Arabidopsis thaliana: one gene and its partners. The main gene of each other region encodes a partner of the protein of the gene in region 3 in a complex. Each region holds a gene or a part of one and is shown on either strand. Other genes may lie near its edges.

Region 1 (5,513 bases), on a different chromosome or scaffold from region 3:
TCAGTCTGCATTTTCTCAAGCACCCAACAAGAAGAAACCAAAAAAGAAAATGATTGTTTTATCAACAAAGTAGTGATTTTGTACAAAATTTCTTTATATTGTAATTATGAAGTGAAATATTATATGGACGTCCATATTCTGTTGACCAATTAAAAAAAAAAGAATTTTCTTTCTTTTTTGTTTTTTTGACATCAAATTTATCATTCTTTTCTCAGAACTAAAGTCTTCTATATAACAACCTTAAGGAGCTAAGATGAGTCTCCCGCCTAAAGTCAGAACAAGCGTTGTCTTTTGTCTGGGATATAGTAGTTAGCACCAATCGTCTTTCTCTTACGTGGATTGTCTGCCACAACTTCAGCTTTAGCCACCTCTGCTACAACCACTTCTGCCACCTTTGCTACAGCACCCTCTGCTACAGCCACCTTTGCCTCAACGTCTTCCTCTTCAACAATGTCCTGTGGGTTTCGATTTACGGGTTCGATTAGTTTCAAGAGGATGCAGTCAATTCTGATAACTAGATCATCAGTTTCCAAAAGATCAAGAGGTTTTCGGTATATCATTGGTTCTTGTTTATGGTTTGGCAGGATGTATCAGGTTCTACTAGCTGCAGGGGATTCAGAAGGTGCCAAGGCATTGATATAAAAAATTCCAATAGATGATAAAGATGTACAACATATCATCGAAGAAAGTCGGTCTGCATTTTCTCAAGCACCCAACAAGAAGAAACCTAAAAAGAATATGAGTGTTTCATCAACAAACTACCGTAAAACATCTATAAGTTAATATTGTTTGGGACCGAGAAAATTAATTAATTTATGGATAAATTAATAATTATCAATTTATAAAGAGATTTTACAAATTTTATAATTTCTTACAAAAATTTAATTTTAAAAGTGATCTTTTCTTTATAATCAATAATCTTTCTTAATCCGATTATAAGTAGAAAACAATTATTAAGTTTAAAAAAAAAATACAATTTTTTTTTTTCACATAGTAAAAGTATTAGAATTGAACTTTACAAAAAATTAATAAAAATTAAAGAAAAACAATAGTAGAGTCATATTTCACTAAATATTTTACATATAATATTTATATAAATATATATATTGGTAAATTTATACAATTGTTAATTTATAATATTGATCGGACTGGCTAAAGTTTTCTTTTCATCCTAAAGCTTCATCACGCAGACAAAAGATTGTTGGACTCTATACAAGTCTTGTGAGAGAGCGCAAGAAGGATGATGAGTTAGGATATCTTCACATGCTTGAGTACAAATACACAATCAAGATCCGGTTTTGGACCACAACTTATGGACTGGTCATTTCTTTTCAGCAACTTGGATTGAATGTGACAGATACCAGAGTTCATAGTAATTTGACCATCATAGTAATTTGACCAACACTGCCCGGAGAATCAAACATGATGTGTCAATCATGGCCTGTAATTGTGAAAATGATAAAGTGGATTCTCTGAGATTGTAATCAGACAGGTCAAAAAAGTGTAAGGTTAAAATAATGGTTCTGTTGTTGTGAGCTAACTAACATTCTTGTAATTGCTTCTACAACAATTTTTTGGTGAACCAACTTAGAATAGATATTCCTTATGAACCTAAAAGATAATTGTTGCTGAACCAAATCATATAGTTTCTAAATCAGCTCGACAAAAGGTAAACAAGCATTTCATTCAGGTTTCTTCATGTTCAGGCAATTGTCAGCAGCTTGTCCAAACAGCTCTTGTACTTGCTTTAGCTCCTTCTCTGTCACAAACAAGGTCACACCATTAACATCAGCTCAATCGTCAGAGGCAGTTGCAAGGGAAAACAAAAATTCCAAATTCTAGAACCACTAAAGATAACATCTAACCATAGTGCGTGTATCAACAAGAAAGTATACAAATTGAAATTTGAAGTGCATAATGAATCTGCTCCAGTTACAGACAGATAAGACACACCAACAATGAAGTGAAAACCTAAGATCGTTTTTTACCTGCAGCCTCTAGTTGCTTTTGGAGTTCTTGACCAACAAGATCATTTTCCACCTGAAGAAAAAACAGGACAAAGCGGTTAGACAAATAGAAGTAATCGGATTCAAGAACTCGACATATCGGTGTGACTTGTTTGACCTGGAGTTCAGCGATTCTTTTGAGCTGAGCACCTTCACCACCTTCTGACAAAGGAAGTGCAGCAACCAAAGCATCAAACTGTTTAGCAGCCTTAACTAAGCCAGCACTGAGCTGCTTAGGTTGCTCAGGAAAAGGCGTAGCATCATCAGTAACCGTAGTTGTAGCGGGTGGTTCAGGATAATTAGGTGAAAGCTGGACTGGTGGTGCATCCCTTTGCAGTGTCCCAAAAGCATTGAAAGTGATAGCAGCAATCGTATTCACTTGTTCTTGCAACTGTGAGATTATATCCATCTTCCAAAACCTTAAAAGACCTTGAACAAGTATAAAATTTACAGTAATCAATCACATATTAGACTTTTAACATATACTCAAAAGCAAGATATAACGTTCAGAGAGGATCTAGGAGATTCAAATGGCACAAAATTGGTGGTCAATTCCTGAATTTATCAAACAAGATTCTCAACAAAACTAGTGCCAAAGCATAAATCACTTAAAACCAGTTGGATTTCAGAGAGGATCAAAATGGCGAATCCTCAGGGAAAAAATTGACCTAATCGATTTAACGAAGCATAAGCTTTAACGAAGAGACTTACCCGTCGACAAGATTTCTCCGGCGACGCAGAGTCTGTTGGGTGTGGCAACGACAGATAATCGCTGCGAATTGGGGCGTTTTGTTGTTCTTAATAAACTTCGTTCTGCGTTTTGGGTTTGGGCTCGAAGATTTTTAAAATGGGCTTTTAAGGTGGCCTTTCCTTTGGATTTTTGGGCCCTAATTCCATAGAATTCGTAAGGAACGATTTCTGTTGTTTCTTTAAACCTACTGCTTTAATTAATTGACAACTAATTAAAAAAAAAAACACTGAAGTAGAATTGGGTGGCTGATTTTTGAGCCATAAACTATTTCGATTCTCAGCTTTCACCCCCGGACTTTTGGGCCCTTAAATTTTCACCATCAACTTTCATATTCCTCAAAATTACATCATCTACTTTCGAATTCATGCTTAAACATACATTTCCAATTGAACCATTCATTTAACCGGGATTAACCACAAATCTGCGTTTACTGTACCGCGATTGCGATTAACCTGACTAATACCCAGACCCGTTAAGAAAACGACGTCGTTTTCATTTCGTTTAACTCATCAAAAAGAGAAAGAAAACGACGTCGTTTTCATTCTTCTTCTTCTGCAAAATCGATTTGGTCGATTAGGGTTCTTCATTCGACAATTTTATAACAGAGACTAATCCAATACTACAATTTCACTCCAAAACCTCAACAACACCTACACTCTTCCCCAAAGCCATACAATAGATGCAACAATCACAACAGCAACCCCTACAGTCTTCAAAGCTGACTTTGCCATAACATGTCCTAGCTCTTCCACATTCTCCTTCATGGTCAAGAGTTCACCCTCCATCTTCTTAATCAGCTCTTCCTCCATCTGCTTAGCGTTTTTATTAAGGAGCTCCATATTAGCCATCACGTTCATTCTGAGGTCACTAATATTCTCTACAACTCTCTTACACTTCTCATTTACCATCTTAATTTCGTCCAAGAGAGCTTCATCAACCCATTTGAACAAGTGCTCTTCATTTTCTCTCTATAAAACATAATTTCCAATCATTTACTCCTTCAATCAATCAAATATATCACAAAATCGAAATGTGTACCTTCATTGCTATCGCACAACGGTAGAATCTCCGGTATGGATTCTCCTTTGTTTTCGATGTGAATGTAATGATCTCTTCTCCACACCAACATTTCGAGGGGACACCAGGAGGACAGACACGAAATCCTGAACTGGAAGCGGATGAGTAGTAGCTGTTGGTGCTCATTTTCTTATAAAATTGTCGAATGAAGAACCCTAATCGACCAAATCGATTTTGCAGAAGAAGAAGAATGAAAACGACGTCGTTTTCTTTCTCTTTTTGATGAGTTAAACGAAATGAAAACGACGTCGTTTTCTTAACGGGTCTGGGTATTAGTCGGGTTAATCGCAATCGCGGTACAGTAAACGCGGATTTGTGGTTAATCCCGGTTAAATGAATGGTTCAATTGGAAATGTATGTTTAAGCATGAATCCGAAAGTAGATGATGTAATTTTGGGAATATGAAAGTTGATGGTGGAAATTTAAGGGCCCAAAAGTCCGGGGGTGAAAGCTGAGAATCGAAATAGTTTATGGCTCGAAAATCAGCTAACCCAAGTAGAATCGATACTGATTGTGTCTAGTGCTTTAATTATCTCTAGTAGATCTTCAAGGTTTATGCCTTGTCCCTAGTACATTTTGCTATCTCGGTCTGGTGGGTGAGGTGTGATGGTGTTTGTACTTATGTCTCTGGTTTCAGCGGCTTCTTGCTTTCCTCTCTGTCGATTTACTATTAGTTTTGACTTCGGTGTAAAATCTATCCGATCTTATTGGTGTTTCCGGCGTTCACATTTTTTAGGAGAAGTTTAGGTCTTATTTTTCCCATAGTTTTTTATTTTCTTTTGAATTTTGTCTCTTGATTCAATTTCGTTGGTTTAAAATGTTTCCTTATATATGTTTTTGGTTTTACTTCCTTTTTTTCAGCTAAGTTTCTCAAAATATTCCGTTGGTCTGTTGGCTTATGTATTTCAACTTGTATTCTACTTTAGTTTCTAATATAATTCAGATGAGAAAAAAAAAGAATTAAAACTGATTTCAGTGTACCAAACTAAACTGAAATGAATGAACCAACAAATTTTAAAATAAAATATTATTAAGTTTTTGAAATAAAAGATCAAACTAATTTTTTTTTTCATTAACAAAAACAAGAAACCAACCCGTAAATCGGATTATAAAATATCTAATATCTTTGTTTGTTTTGTCCAAGTATAAAAAATATCTAATATCTAAAAGAGATTTTTAACAAATAAAGAAGAGATCAACGTTATTTTTTTTTTATAATTAGTTAGTGGAAAACGTATGTGGTTTATAATTGAGCTGAAAAGTGAAAATCCAACAAAAAAATCGTCTCGTGGCTGACACGAGACTATCTTCAATCTACGGCTCAGAAAATTCCATAAATATTAACATTTCATCTCTTCTTCATTTTTTTCCTAATCGTTGTTTTTTTTCTAACACACGACTCCAAAAAAAAAAAAAAAAACAATCTTCTTTTACTTCTCCTAAGAGCCACACCAACAACAATGGCGTCTCTTCTCGCAAACGGTATCTCCAGCTTCTCTCCACAACCCACTTCCGATTCCTCAAAATCACCAAAAGGGTTTCACCCAAAACCCGAATCCTTAAAATTCCCATCTCCCAAATCCCTAAATCCAACGAGACCGATCTTCAAACTCAGAGCCGATGTTGGAATCGATTCTCGTCCCATCGGAGCTTCTGAATCATCATCATCAGGTACATCA
Region 2 (5,558 bases), on a different chromosome or scaffold from region 3:
CGTAAGCAGCAGGATACAAAAGAAAACCTAACCCTAACCGTATTTGAATCCAATAAACGATGTTCAAACTCTGGAGGAGAATACTTTGATCGAATCCCTGCAGATTTGGTCATCAAAATCTTATCGAAATTGTCTGCAAAGTCTATGGCCAAGTGTCGTTGTGTATGTAAGCTCTTGTCGTCGATAATTCGACAACCAAATTATAACCAGTTGTTCCCGATCAAGTATCCCGATCCACCGAGGTTCATCTTCACCTTCTTAGGTGGAGGAATGTTATTTTCCTACACTTCAACACAGCCTGAAAATCCAGATGAGAATTCATCTCTTGTAGCCACTGCTCATCATCATACGGATATCCCTAGAGATTTCTCTCAAATCCTTAGCTCTGTCCACGGACTGGTCTGTTATCACCGTAAGATAAAAAATGACACAGTTTTTGTGATTTATAATCCCATCACAGGGCAGTACGTAACCTTACCCATATTGGAAGCACATGCGACAATAAACTATTTCGCCATCGGGTATGATCCAATCAACAAACGGTTCAAGGTATTGTGTGTAACCTCGGTGCATCATGGAACAGGGGAGGAGTTTGATAGTCAGCATCAAGTTCTCACATTCGAGACTGGAAGGAGAAATCTATTTTGGAGGAAGATCCAATGTCGCAGACATTATTATACCCACCGTTATCATAAGGGGATATGCATCAAAGGTGTTTTGTATTATGCAGCAACCTCTATGAAACCTATGTTGGGACCTATGATCGTTTGCTTTGACGTTAGGTCTGAGAAATTTGGTTTTATTACTTGGAAACCTCCCTCTCTGATAAACTACAAGGGTAAATTAGGTTCAATAAATAGTAATGATAACGATTTGGTGTTGTGGGTTTTAGAGCATGGCCAGGAACGTAAATGGTCAAAGCATATCTACGTAAAGCCCCTTCAATGGCCGGAGTTCAATGGAATTGATGTAAACTTTTTAGTTACTAGTAAAGGTGAAGCTGTATTCTGCCCAAATCACTATGATCCACAAGTTCCTTTTTACCTTTATTACTACAATCTCGAGGAGAACATTGTGGTAAGAGTAAGAGTTGAAGTTCCAGAATCTCAAGGTTCTAAACGGGTTTTGTTTCATGCTGTTCCAAACTATCTAGAGAATATGAAGCTTACGTGAGTGTTTTATTGGGTTTTTTTTTTACCTGTTTAAGACTATTATCATGATTTCAAAATAGTGAGTAGGGATAGATTAGAAGTCGGTGTTTTTATTTCTTTTTAAAAGACTAATAGATGTGGCTTCAATGGTGTTTTGTTTTATATTTGGAGGATCATTGTGGAATAATGGTTGAATTTTCCATGGTCGCTACAATGCTTTTTCTACTCTGTTCTGAATCTAAATCACAAAACCACTCACTATGTTCAACAACTACCTGGGCTTATATCGTTTTTGGGTTGAGCTTTCTGTTGCATGTCCCACATACAAAGATTTTGGTTTGGTTTGATGCAGACAAAACACATTATGCATTGTGATCTATTTGTAATCCGAAGAATGAATTTTCTTGAAGAAAACCACATTCTCTTTATTATGTGAATCAAGATTGGTTTATTGATAACAATTATTGGTCTTAAGTAGCTAAACAGTTGCTGAATCAAAATATGAGAAACTAATGCTCCATTGTCACAATCTCTTCAATAGATTTCCTATACTCCACAATCAAATCCCTGACCAGAAGACATTTAACAACAAAAGAGTAAGAGCACGATCACAATCTGATCAGATAAAACATGATACTAACAATCTAGCTAACCTTCTCTGTTGAAGCAATTGCTCACTTTCTTCAACATTTCTCTTTTGGCCATCAACAGTCTATAAAACACAGAGAGAGAGAGAGATCCATAAGAAACAAAAGATTAAACAGAACCAATACAGAGATCCAAAATGTTACCATAGTTTTAGATCCTAGTGATCCTGAAATCGAATTCAGCAACTGTTGACACTTGTCGAAATGGCTATTCAATTCATTCACCTGCAAATCCCACAATTTCAACATCATCCAATAAGAAACCCTAGAAATCTCAAAACCACTTTAAAAGACTTGATTTTTAACAAACCAGGGCGTCAGAATTCTGATCTCGTGTTCCATTTTCGATCACATCAGCTAATTTCTCCACCATCTGCGTCATTAACACGAAATTAGAACCCCCAACGATTCCAATTTCATCAATTTTCTTTGTTTCTCTTACCGGATAGAGATGGAAATGAGAAGCTAAAGACTGATGCTGTTGAGGAGTCTGCACCGGAGTTTGAACCAACTGTTGTTGTTGCTGCGGTGTATGCATCATAGATTGAGGCGTGTGAACCATCGTCTGTTGCGGCGGAGGTGATTGTAACGACTGTGGCTGAAGAGGAGGAGATTGTAACAACCGTTGTTGTTGTTGGAATTGCTGTTGTTGGATGAAGTGTTGCTGTTGTTGGAATTGCTGATATTGTTGCATCTCTTGTTGTTGTTGTGGCTGGAATTGTTGTTGTTGCTGCTGCGTCTGTTGTTGTTGTTGAAGATGAAACTGTTGTTGTTGTTGTTGTTGTTGTTGTTGTTGTAATTGTTGTTGCTGGAGGAATAGTTGCTGGTCATGATTCGTCGGTGTACCGAAGTTACCTTGCGCCTGCACGTTTGGGATCATCGACCAATTACCTCCTCCTCCTGAGAATTGATCCATTTTTTCTCCTTCCGATCTCGCTAATTCTCCTTCTCGTCGCCGTCGTCGTCTATTAAAACTTAAAAGAACGAAGAAGAGACAAAAGTGGGAACTTAAACGATGTCGTGTTTTGACCAAAAAAAAAAAAAAATGATGTCGTGTCATGATAAAACGAAGTTGTTCTCAGTTAAGGTTTTGTTTGTAATTTACAATCGTAAAACGCCGTCGTTTCAGTATCAATCTCTTCTTCTTCTTCTTCCTCTCAAACCGAATGTTCTTCTTGGTCGGTCACAATCTGTTCTGCACGAGCACTGCACAATCACTTGGAGTCTGTGAATTTCACATCTGAAAGAAATACAAACTCCCATAGTTTTCAATTTTCACGATCTCCGAATTTCACGACTTTGATACTTGGTTTCTTTGCACATTCACGTAAGCTCCAATTCTTCCTTCTCTTCTTTTGGCAATTGATTCACATCGAATAGTGTTGCGTTGACGAGTTCTTCGTTACAGATATTGTGTATTATGGCTGTTAAAATTGAATTTGAATTGTTAGTATTAGCAAAGTAATACAAAGTTTGTTCCTTTAACTAATTTAACCAGCTTCTGTTCTCATGAACAAGTTTGTGCCTTAGATAAGTCAGATTTTTTACACTACTTGATGTACAGTAAATTTACTTGTCTTTCTCTTTAGGCGACGAAGATGAGGCTGTTGAAGGTTGCTACGTGTAACTTGAACCAATGGGCCATGGATTTCGAGAGCAACATGAAGAACATCAAGGCTTCGATCGCTGAGGCAAAGGCTGCTGGTGCTGTTATCAGGCTTGGACCCGAGCTCGAGGTCACTGGCTATGGTTGCGAGGATCACTTCTTGGAACTCGACACTGTCACTCATGCGTAAGCTTCTATTTTTAGTTTTCTATTTCGATGATGAATGGCATGAATGACTTGGTACTATCACTTTAGATGATGGAATTAATTTCTTTTTCTTCTGAATTTAGTTATCGGAATCATGTTTAACCGTTTCTTCTTATGTTCATGTGAATATCTTCTTTCAGGTGGGAGTGTTTGAAGGAATTGCTGCTTGGTGATTGGACGGATGATATTTTGTGCAGCATAGGAATGCCTGTGATTAAAGGAGCAGAGCGTTATAACTGCCAGGTTCTCTGTATGAACAGAAGAATCATCATGATTCGACCGAAAATGTGGCTCGCAAACGATGGAAACTATAGGGAGCTACGGTGGTTCACAGCTTGGAAGCAGAGAGAAGAGCTAGAGGAATTTCAGCTCCCCATTGAAATTTCAGAGGCTTTGGAGCAGAAATCAGTCCCTTTTGGTTATGGTTACATCCAGTTTATCGACACGTGAGTTTGGATAAATGCTTCCATTTCAACACTGTCAATGATTTTGTCTGCTTAACTGTATCAGTTATATTTCCTTATCAGGGCTGTTGCAGCTGAAGTCTGTGAGGAACTGTTTAGTCCACTTCCTCCTCATGCCGAGCTCGCATTGAATGGTGTTGAAGTATTTATGAATGCAAGTGGGAGTCATCACCAACTTAGGAAACTAGATATTCGTCTGAATGCTTTTATGGGGGCTACTCATGCTCGTGGTGGGGTGTATATGTACAGTAATCAACAAGGATGCGATGGTAGCCGCTTATACTACGGTATGTTTGACAACCCTTAAAATTATTGAAAGTATCATTTTTGAGTAAATCATATCTACTTTTTTGAGTGAGATTTGTTCATTTGTAACCAAGTGCAGATGGATGTGCATGTATTGTTGTAAACGGGAATGTTGTTGCTCAAGGCTCACAATTCTCGTTGAGAGACGTTGAGGTCATCATTTCACAAGTGGATCTTGATGCGGTATCCCACAGTTACCCTTTGGCTTTACTTTCTTCTGTTTTGTGATATATAAATGAAAAGTTCTTAGGATCATCTTGCTTATTTGTCTTGAGAAAGGTTGCTAGCCTTCGTGGATCTATAAGTAGCTTTCAGGAACAAGCAAGCTGCAAGGTTAAAGTATCTTCAGTAGCTGTGCCCTGTAGACTTACACAGTCCTTCAACCTGAAAATGACACTAAGCAGTCCGAAGAAGGTTCTCCATCCTTGAGTATTTGATGTTAAGTTAACATCTAAAATTTTCCACTCTAATATACATTAGTAATGTAGATCATTTACCACTCTCCACAAGAAGAAATAGCCTTTGGTCCCGCTTGCTGGATGTGGGACTATTTGAGAAGAAGTGGCGCTTCAGGATTTTTGCTTCCTCTTTCTGGCGGAGCAGACAGCTCCTCCGTGGCAGCTATTGTTGGCTGCATGTGCCAACTTGTTGTTAAAGGTACACTGGCGCTTTTTTCTATGTATGTTGAACTGTGTTTTGTCTTGTTGAAATTTCATGATATTGAGTTCTCTCAGAGTATATTTTCTTTCTTGTTTAGAGATTGCAAAGGGAGATGAGCAAGTAAAAGCTGATGCGAACCGAATTGGGAATTATGCTAATGGGCAGTTTCCTACTGATAGCAAAGAGTTTGCCAAACGAATATTTTACACTGTCTTTATGGGTTCTGAAAACAGGTGAATTAGTTAATAAGAGCAAAGAGAATATGATTTTTCGTCACTGTGTGGATTTACAGCAGAGATGAAACTTTTTTCCCCATATTGAAATCTTAAATTTGCAGTTCTGAGGAGACAAAAAGGCGTTCAAAGCAGCTGGCAGACGAGATTGGTGCTTGGCATCTTGATGTTTGCATAGATGGTGTTGTCTCTGCAGTTTTATCATTATTTCAAACAGTTACAGGCAAGCGACCAAGGTATAAGGTAAAGTCTGAATATACATTACCTAGGCAAACTGTTAGAAA
Region 3 (8,223 bases):
CTCTGGTTATAAATGGTTAACAGTATAGTTAACCGAATAAACCCAAAAATATGGGTTAATAAATGTTGAAGTATCAATTCAGGGAGTTTAGATAGAGATCTTTTGATTCATGGAGAAATAGATATAAAACTTTTTTTAGAAAAAGAGAAAAAATGTACAGACCTTCTAAAGACTATAAAGTTGTGCTATTATTTGGGATGCGAGAAAAAAAAATAGGAATCTACAGCATGATTGTTTCAATTTTGAGGCTATAGCTTTTTATTTTGCTTTATAAATCTCTTATCATGTCATGTAAATCAATAGGATACTTTCGAGAGCTTTTTTTTTTTTTCTTTTTTTTTTCTCTTACCCTTCTCGTTTCTTTAGAAACGATCATGCTCTAATCCAAATCGGATATTAATTTCAGTTTTTTTTTTTTTCTGTTTAATTAGGTTTATAAATTTTGCTTCGACGATATCAATAATTTTGATTTCGGACAAGACTTTTGATACCACTTTTATCAAGTTCTCTCTTGCCTTGCGAGTTTAGATCTCCATCTATTGGTGATTGTTGATGTCTTTGGTTTCTTCACAAATCCTCTATGTTCCCACCAATTAGTTCGACGAGTAATATCTATACCACTTCTTTATGCACACACATGAACAAAGATCCGGCCACATCAATATGGGTGTCGTCAGAGGTGGAGCTTCCCCGACGATAATGATACTTGAAGAATTTTTAAGCGACTTCCATCACTTGATCCGAAAGAATATCGACGATTTTTGGACATGGGTTCGAGATCGACAGAAGGAAAGACGATTCTCAACATTTTGGTGAATTCTAGCGGTTTCCCGCGAATTCAACAGCGGTGCTTGACGTCTCGGCCCGTGTCATAGGGCAAAACACTTCATCAACACGTTTCATCAGCAAAATCTTTATGAGTGGATGTTTAAATTACTAAGGATGATTTAGTTTTATAGGCTTGGCTTCATTTTCTGTAATCCTTTTTTAAAACTTATATTCCAACCTTTTGGGCTCTATAAATGAAACATGTAATAAGAAAAAACAATAAAATACTTTAAAATCTTTTTTAAAAAAAAGGCTTTGTGCCTAAATATTTCAAGATAATTTATTATACTATCGGTTTTGAAACAATTATAATTTCTTGTTAAAATATATACAATAAGAAGACATGAGCCACACCATACAAATAAATGTTACTTCTATCTCAAAGGAAATAAAAAAAAACCTAACTTGGGCTATAAGGCTTCCCACCTAAAAACTATCTTGTACGGTGAGTGAGAAAGGAAGTATTAGTCCTCATGAAGCTCTTAGAACCGTTTCCCAAGCACCATACTTGGAGCTGAAAGTGCCTCCACCATGTCTCTCTGCGTACTCAACCATTGTCGCTCTCGCACAATCATTCCACGTTTGAGCTATTCCTTTCGAAAACCCTGGTTCTGAAAATTCCTTCATGGACAAACTGAACCTTGATCTGGTTCTCGCGGATAGATCCTCATACTTGTGTACACTGAAACATGCAGATATAAATCCTTAAGATCATATATATTTACTCCAATCGTTGTTACTTGATTTCTAAGAAAGATTCATACCTAGTGTCAAAGGAGATTTCCTCGAGAACTATCGGAGAACTATACGGATAATCCATAGGAAATAGTAAGCGTAAAGGTTGAATCTGTGCCTGCATCAAACATTTAGAGACATAAAAAATCTGAGCAGAGTGAGGAAAAAGAAGAAGTTTGAAGTAACTTACAATTTTTCCAGACTTGTAATGATCTTTGAATGTGGCACTGAGAGCCACAGGAGCATAAGTACAAGTGACGATTGTTCCTAAAGAATCTTCATCACATATCTCTACCACTGTCTCTACAAGTCTCCCATTTGTTTCTTTGATTTCTTGCAAAAGGGCATAACCAGGCTACAAGATTGAAAAAATGGATTTATTTCGATGTTTCATTTGTTTTCGTAGTTCGATACCAATAGAGTAGATTTTACCGCAATATTGTTAACTTTCAAGCCAGATGATGTTGTGGAAACAACTTCAGATTCAAGGCTACTCAACTGTTCATAACTATCAATTTGTGATGACATATCTGGCGGCACAATGTTGATTGATCGCTTCATTCTCTTAGACAGATTTGTTTCTTCGTGTGTGGTAAAGTTTCTTGTCCTCTCACTCAAATCCTCGCCTAAACCAGCTCTAGATCCTCCACTAGAAGGGAACGATCCTCCAATCATGTCAACCATACTAATCACCGAGCTAATCTCACTTACAGATTCTGCCAATGATTTTGGTGATGCTGCTTGAAACTAGAAAGCCACACACATTAAAAATTAGGTCAGTAAATAGGAGAAGGTAAAGAAAGTAAACTTAGATAAGCTATAGAGTTTACTTACCGCTTTTATAAGTCGATCAATAGGCCGCTCTGTGATTGGCTCGGGCGGAGGAACAAATAACAGAGGAGTTTCTTGTGTGCCAAGTTTACTAGAAGAATCTAAAGTTGAGTTTATTTCATCAACACCAGAAACTGGAGACTCAACAGATATAGGCATTTCAGAATCTCCAGGAACTGGAGATGGAGCTGGAGCAACAAAAGCCGAACCACTAGAGTTCAATGGGGTTCCGGTTTTGTTAATCGTCGCAGGAAGAATATGCTGGTCAACTAACTGAGGAGAAGAGTGGTTCTGTATCTGAGAGGATGAAACGTTAGACTCTTGCTTTGGAACCTGGCGCTGACTCGATGAGACTTGTTGCTCAAGCAACCTGGCTTTAATGTTGACCCTCTCCCTCATCCTCACATCATTCATCTCATTTGTCTGCATTTGATGTTGATGATTCCCTTGTTGTGGTTGTTGTTGTTGCATTTGTCGGTGATGGAATCGCTTCTGCTTCTGCAACGACTGAACCGAACTGATATTTGTGTTTACGGCCCGAGGATTTTGTTTAACAGAAGGTAACATGACATTTCCTGAGGAAGCCATAATGATGTTCTCGTCTCTTGGATCCAACTTAGGCCTTATTTGCAACAAAGACGAGGCCTCATTTTGGCTACTTGGCATCAACCGTGATCTCCTTTGCTCCTTATAAAGAGACTGTGACACATGGACTTGAGGACTTTGGGTTTGCATTGCTGTTTGAGAAGGAGGAAATTGTCCTTGTTGTTGCTGCGTTGGCCTCAAAACCATGGTCTGACTCTTGGTAAATTTCAATATGTGGTACTCATATTGACTAAACTTGTCTCTATGTTTCTCTGATACACTGCTCCTATGAACATTTAAGAAAAACATAAGGTGTTCCATTGACAATTTTCCCGCCTTTAGCTTTTCAATCCACTGAGCTTGCATCGGTTGCGGCGGAAGAGATTCAGTCTGGAAACATTAGGTTTATTAAACCAAAAACAACACAAAGTTTTAGAAAAAAAAATGATTAAGAAAACCATTAGAACAAATTCTTGTTCCACAAGCAAAACAATTAGGTTATAAAATAAAGTACCTCCCGCAATTTTTCCGCAACTCTTTGGTGCATTAAACTGAGAACAGGTAAACACATCTCTTTCAGTTTTTTTATCTGCAGGACATATCAGAATGGGAATCAATTGAAAACAAAATCAAACCCTAATTGTGATGTTAAGAAGTGAAGAGCAAAGCAAGTGAAGATACCTTCTGATAGGTCTCCTCCTGCCAGTTTCCGGCATTGACATTTACCGTCTTTCCCGTAGAATCTTGAGATGCTACAATGATATTCATTATTAGAACTAAAAACATTATCACAAGAGTTAGTAAGAGAGGAAACATACTAGATGGATTTGCTCTCTCTAATTGTTGTGGCTGGTTCTGTTGATCTGTTATGTTTTGTGTTTGGCGCAACGAACTTGCTGCTTGAAATTGATTGGTATTGTTTTGTACAAAATCCAAATGTTTCTGTAAGTTTCTGTTCTGAGGATCCTGCTGCATGGGGTATTGTTGTCGGTATTGTTGTGACATCATTGGTTGAGATTGTCCTACTTGTTGACCTCTAGTCATACTTTGGAGGTTATTCTTCTGTTGAGACATTGCATGTAAGGTAACATTATTGTTCTGCTGAGACGAGGATACCTGAAAAGCTCCTTGTTGGTCTCTATTGTTTGGTCGTGATGTTGGAAGATTCGTCAGTTGATTAATGAGTTGCTCTTGTTCTTGTCGTTTCTGTTCTTGAGACGGCAGAACCATCTGTTGTTGATGACTAAAACTGACCCGTTGTATCGAAAACTGATTTCTGGTCAGTGATTGAGTGTTTTGTTAGCTTGATTGAGGAAAAGGCTGTTGAATAGGTTGTTTCAACAAACTTTGCGGATGATGTTGCGGCTGCGGTGACCGAGCTTGTTGTTGCATGTGCGAAGGTCGTAAATTACCATGGCGGATTTGATTCATTTGAGGCTGTTGCTGCTGAGGAAGAAGTTGTTGCCTACCATGTATCTGTCTTTGAGAACCGGGAACGGTTATAGGGACCTGACTTGGCAAAGCAGATGACACAGAGATTGCTCTGTGTGTTTTGCTGTAACCATTGTTGGCTCGTTGTAGTCTGCATATATGGCAACAAGGCGGGAAGAGATTGAGCTTGATTCACAACTACTTGAGAAGCTGATGTTTAGATAAACACATAGAAAAAAAAAGTTAGTTAGTGATTTCTTTGTTATTAAGCTAAAATAGTATAATTATGAAACCAAAAACTTATTACCTAGAACTCTAGTGTAAGTTCTCTGTATATAATGCAGTGTTTCACTGAGTTTCCTAAGGTAATCATTCTGAAACATAGCAAGGGGACAATGAGTAAGATATCAAATTCAGATTCTGAAGTTAATAGATGGAGAAACAATTTGTAGTTTAACACCTTATCGGTTGCTATGCTATAAAAATTTTCTTCAAATTTGGAAGCGATGTCGTTAATCTTATATTCTTCATGTGCATGAAACTTTTCCTTGAACTTTTCAACTCTACACATACATGAGAACAAAATATCAGTGACTATGAAGAATTTGGTTATAACTGATATTCAAGAGGAAGTGATACCATTTTAATTGCACTAAAAATACAAAACAGAGAAAATAATCCGTAGTTAATATTCGAACTTACGATAATCGTTTAGCGAACAAACACTGAAACAATTATACATATGTGCCAAGCAATTGTACATAGAAGCGAGAGTAAAACAAGATTCTCCTAGTGAGGAAGAGCCTAAATGCAGGTAATGAGGTTAAAAGAATATGCAAAACTTAAAGTACAAAAGGTTGAAGTTAGGTTTTGTCAACTATGATAAACATTTATGCACAACTCTTATGCTTTAACTGTTGCAATCTTTATCATGCGCAAACTACAAATATCACATCGAAAGCATGACCAAGAAAACCTTACTCTCTTTCATGAATGTTAATAATCAAATAAGAACAATGAGTCCAACAAAAGAAACATGAAACTCTTGAAAGAATGGCTTACATTTTTGAAAGAACCTTTTGCCGTAATTCAGGCTCATGTTGTGATCTCCAATCAATACGATTATTCGCAGCATCACGGTTTCCGCCTTGTTCATTAGGCTTCCAGTTAGTATTTCCCTCCATTAAGTTATGCGTCCTAACGGGGAGATGTATGTATAGGCTTTGACCAAGAACCGCCTCGCTAAACCTTAACAAACAAACAAAAGAATGATTAGAGAAATTACTCAACATGGTAACACAAAACAGATAAATATATAGTACAAGAAAACGACAAAAGAGTATTCAAAAATCAATATGCATATCACGCTAACAACCTATCGCATAATATCACACAACACGTATTATAATATTTGTTGGTGCAGGAATTAGCACCTCCGACAATACTAATTTAAACCGAGGAATAATGTGAATAAAATCGAGAATTCGATTGAACCGGGGTATCCCGGTTAGCCTGTTAATGGGCCTAAGTCATGAGATCGCCCGAAGACTTAAGTCGACAATCAAGATCGCCATAACCAACTTCTTAGGTCGTGTAAAGGGAAAACTTCCATTTAAGAGAAGAGGATCTCATGAAGAATAGAAGTAATGAAGATTTAAACCTAAGATAATTAGAAGTTTATCATATTTTGGTATATTCGACCTATTGTATAAATAGAGGGGTCAAACCCCCCATTGAGATCATCTTTAACCTAATACAAGAGACTACTATTACAGAGCAAACCCTAGCTTTTTGTTTAAGCAACCTAGTTCTTTTCCTTTGATTATTTGTGAGCTAAGAGAGGAGTGAATTTGTCTAAATCCCTTAGTACAAATTCATTGTTTGATTACTGAATCAACAATATTTAATATATAATCCTAACATTTTAACAATCAGCACCCAATGTCTAATCTTATACAAATGAAATTCAGAAATACAAAAGTAAAGGTGATACTATGTTTCCACAGATCCTACCCTCACCTTGGCAACTCGGTTGGATTTTAAGAAATAGGACTAGCAACAATGGATCCGGCTCAACAACGATCTCAAACTACAACAATTTAGATTAATCAATCAAGATTATATTCCCTTAATAATTTGTTATTTAATCTAATAACTAAACCAAGTCTAATAATTTAATATTAGTTGCTTAACACGTAATTGACTACGCCACATCCATTTACGTGACCAAATACTCCCCGGTTTAATAATTAAACCAACGCCACAATTCAAATCACGTACATGTCAATGCTACTTCTGGTTTGACAATTAACCCAACGCTTTCTAATAAGCCAATAACTGACTATATCGTCTTCTTCACTAACACAACCCAACTGACGCCATAACCGATCAACTCAAAAGGTTCCTTAATAATCAAGTTTCAATTCATGGCCGTAACTATACGTAATCCCTTGGTTTAGGTTGGTTCAATAATTAAACAACACAACACCTTAACATGAATACGAGAATAAGGTTTCACCGTTATCTCACTCTGCAACGAAGAAGTAGAGGATTCGGTATCACAGACCCAAACAAAGCACCAATGATAGATCTAGATTCCGGTGAAGAAGGAGGACGAAGAAGGCTAATAGTGGCTCAGATGGTGATGATTAGGGTTGGATGTTACGTGACGATAACTTCACGTCACCACTTAACACGATCGGGACCACAACCACAAACTACAACGATGGTGAACTCGATAGTGGAGGATGATGGTGACTTGAGAGTTGAGATCAAATTTCTATGATTTTGATAAGGTTAACATTGCGTGCTCGTAACATAAGCGGCGAGAGGAAGAAGACATTATATACATACGTACACACTTCTCACGTTTAGGTCTTGTTTTTAATGAAGATGGGCTTAATGAGAAATTGGGTCTTAGCTTTACCTCCTTTCGCCGTCTCCAGTCACGCCGAGACAGCTCCCTTTCATGCTTCTTCCGCCAGAATCCATCGCCGGATACATCTCGAAGATTGAATCAGAGTATTAAGGTAATTCACGACTATGAATCTTCTGGATTAGCGTCAGTGTATTGTTTATATCGATGTTTGCGACTATTTTTGGTTTAAGTTACTGGATTGGTGGTTTTTGAAGAAGCATCAATGTTTATAGGTTTCAGTTGTTTCAAGAACCATTGGATTCATTACTAGTAGTCTATGGTTTCATGATCAAGTAATTGTTGAAACATCGTAAATATCAAGTTTGTAGTAATTGTTCGAACTATCTATGTGAATTGTAGTTTTTTCTGTGTAGTTTACCTTGAGATTATCCACTGCTCTATACCTTGAAATTGAAATAGGCTTCACACTGAAGTTATAAGGACTTGGGGTACAAGAGTCGTTGGTTTGACTCTCCTTGTGATTGGTGCTATGAGAATCAAAGAAGCTTCTGAGATCCCATAACCATGTGTTGTTACTTTGCCACTAGGATTGTTTACGGCCTGCAACCGGAGGCTCTGATGATGGTACATATTTTGTCACCTGAAGACGTTACTAGTAATTATGTTCTTTGTGCTGCTTTTATTCATTAATTGCTTAAACTAAATGTTGTCGTTGCAAGATCTTTGTTCTTGTATGTTGGACAATGCCAATGTGCTATCGCTGAGTTGGATGCATTGGGTGATGAATTATACAAGGACAGTACCCTGATTATGAAGATTCTTAGAGACAATCTCACTTTCTGGACTTCAGATATGACTGTAAGCATCAACACAATATACATTGATCATTGTTCACTAAGTTCTGTAATTGACATGATTATAACTCTTTGGTCAAT

The links. The genes of interacting proteins can lie anywhere in the genome.
Region 1: AT2G10440 (region 3) and MED21 share a complex: the UniProt entries of both Arabidopsis thaliana proteins name them as parts of the mediator complex.
Region 2: AT2G10440 (region 3) and MED9 share a complex: the UniProt entries of both Arabidopsis thaliana proteins name them as parts of the mediator complex.

What each region holds. Positions count from the first base shown.
Region 1 is NC_003075.7:2,429,567-2,435,079, reverse strand, and holds MED21 (mediator 21), read right to left. Parts: upstream 2,829-5,513; 5' UTR 2,718-2,828; intron 2,436-2,717; 5' UTR 2,416-2,435; coding exon 2,125-2,415; intron 2,041-2,124; coding exon 1,989-2,040; intron 1,760-1,988; coding exon 1,683-1,759; 3' UTR 1,445-1,682; downstream 1-1,444. Other genes in the region: AT4G04790 (Tetratricopeptide repeat (TPR)-like superfamily protein), read left to right, coding at 1-73; AT4G04775 (zinc ion binding protein), read right to left, coding at 3,408-3,725, 3,796-3,960; ABCI8 (ATP binding cassette protein 1), read left to right, coding at 5,295-5,513. UniProt on the Arabidopsis thaliana protein: Component of the Mediator complex, a coactivator involved in the regulated transcription of nearly all RNA polymerase II-dependent genes.
Region 2 is NC_003070.9:20,551,461-20,557,018, forward strand, and holds MED9 (mediator of RNA polymerase II transcription subunit-like protein), read right to left. Parts: upstream 2,795-5,558; 5' UTR 2,715-2,794; coding exon 2,241-2,714; intron 2,172-2,240; coding exon 2,109-2,171; intron 2,024-2,108; coding exon 1,943-2,023; coding exon of another isoform or gene 1,864-1,942; coding exon 1,805-1,863; intron 1,719-1,804; coding exon 1,661-1,718; 3' UTR 1,445-1,660; downstream 1-1,444. Other genes in the region: AT1G55070 (F-box and associated interaction domains-containing protein), read left to right, coding at 1-1,173; AT1G55090 (carbon-nitrogen hydrolase family protein), read left to right, coding at 3,397-3,590, 3,752-4,057, 4,139-4,362, 4,461-4,564, 4,661-4,795, 4,870-5,038, 5,139-5,274, 5,379-5,517. UniProt on the Arabidopsis thaliana protein: Component of the Mediator complex, a coactivator involved in the regulated transcription of nearly all RNA polymerase II-dependent genes.
Region 3 is NC_003071.7:4,012,453-4,020,675, forward strand, and holds AT2G10440 (mediator of RNA polymerase II transcription subunit), read right to left. Parts: upstream 5,595-8,223; coding exon 5,473-5,594; intron 5,136-5,472; coding exon of another isoform or gene 5,109-5,135; intron 4,974-5,108; coding exon 4,871-4,973; intron 4,785-4,870; coding exon of another isoform or gene 4,718-4,784; intron 4,621-4,717; coding exon of another isoform or gene 4,562-4,620; coding exon 4,449-4,561; intron 4,359-4,448; coding exon 4,234-4,358; intron 4,191-4,233; coding exon 3,798-4,190; intron 3,756-3,797; coding exon 3,661-3,755; intron 3,569-3,660; coding exon 3,494-3,568; intron 3,370-3,493; coding exon 2,398-3,369; intron 2,311-2,397; coding exon 1,996-2,310; intron 1,919-1,995; coding exon 1,754-1,918; intron 1,712-1,753; coding exon 1,593-1,711; intron 1,511-1,592; coding exon 1,300-1,510; downstream 1-1,299. Other genes in the region: AT2G10450 (14-3-3 family protein), read left to right, coding at 7,853-7,912, 8,054-8,146. UniProt on the Arabidopsis thaliana protein: Component of the Mediator complex, a coactivator involved in the regulated transcription of nearly all RNA polymerase II-dependent genes.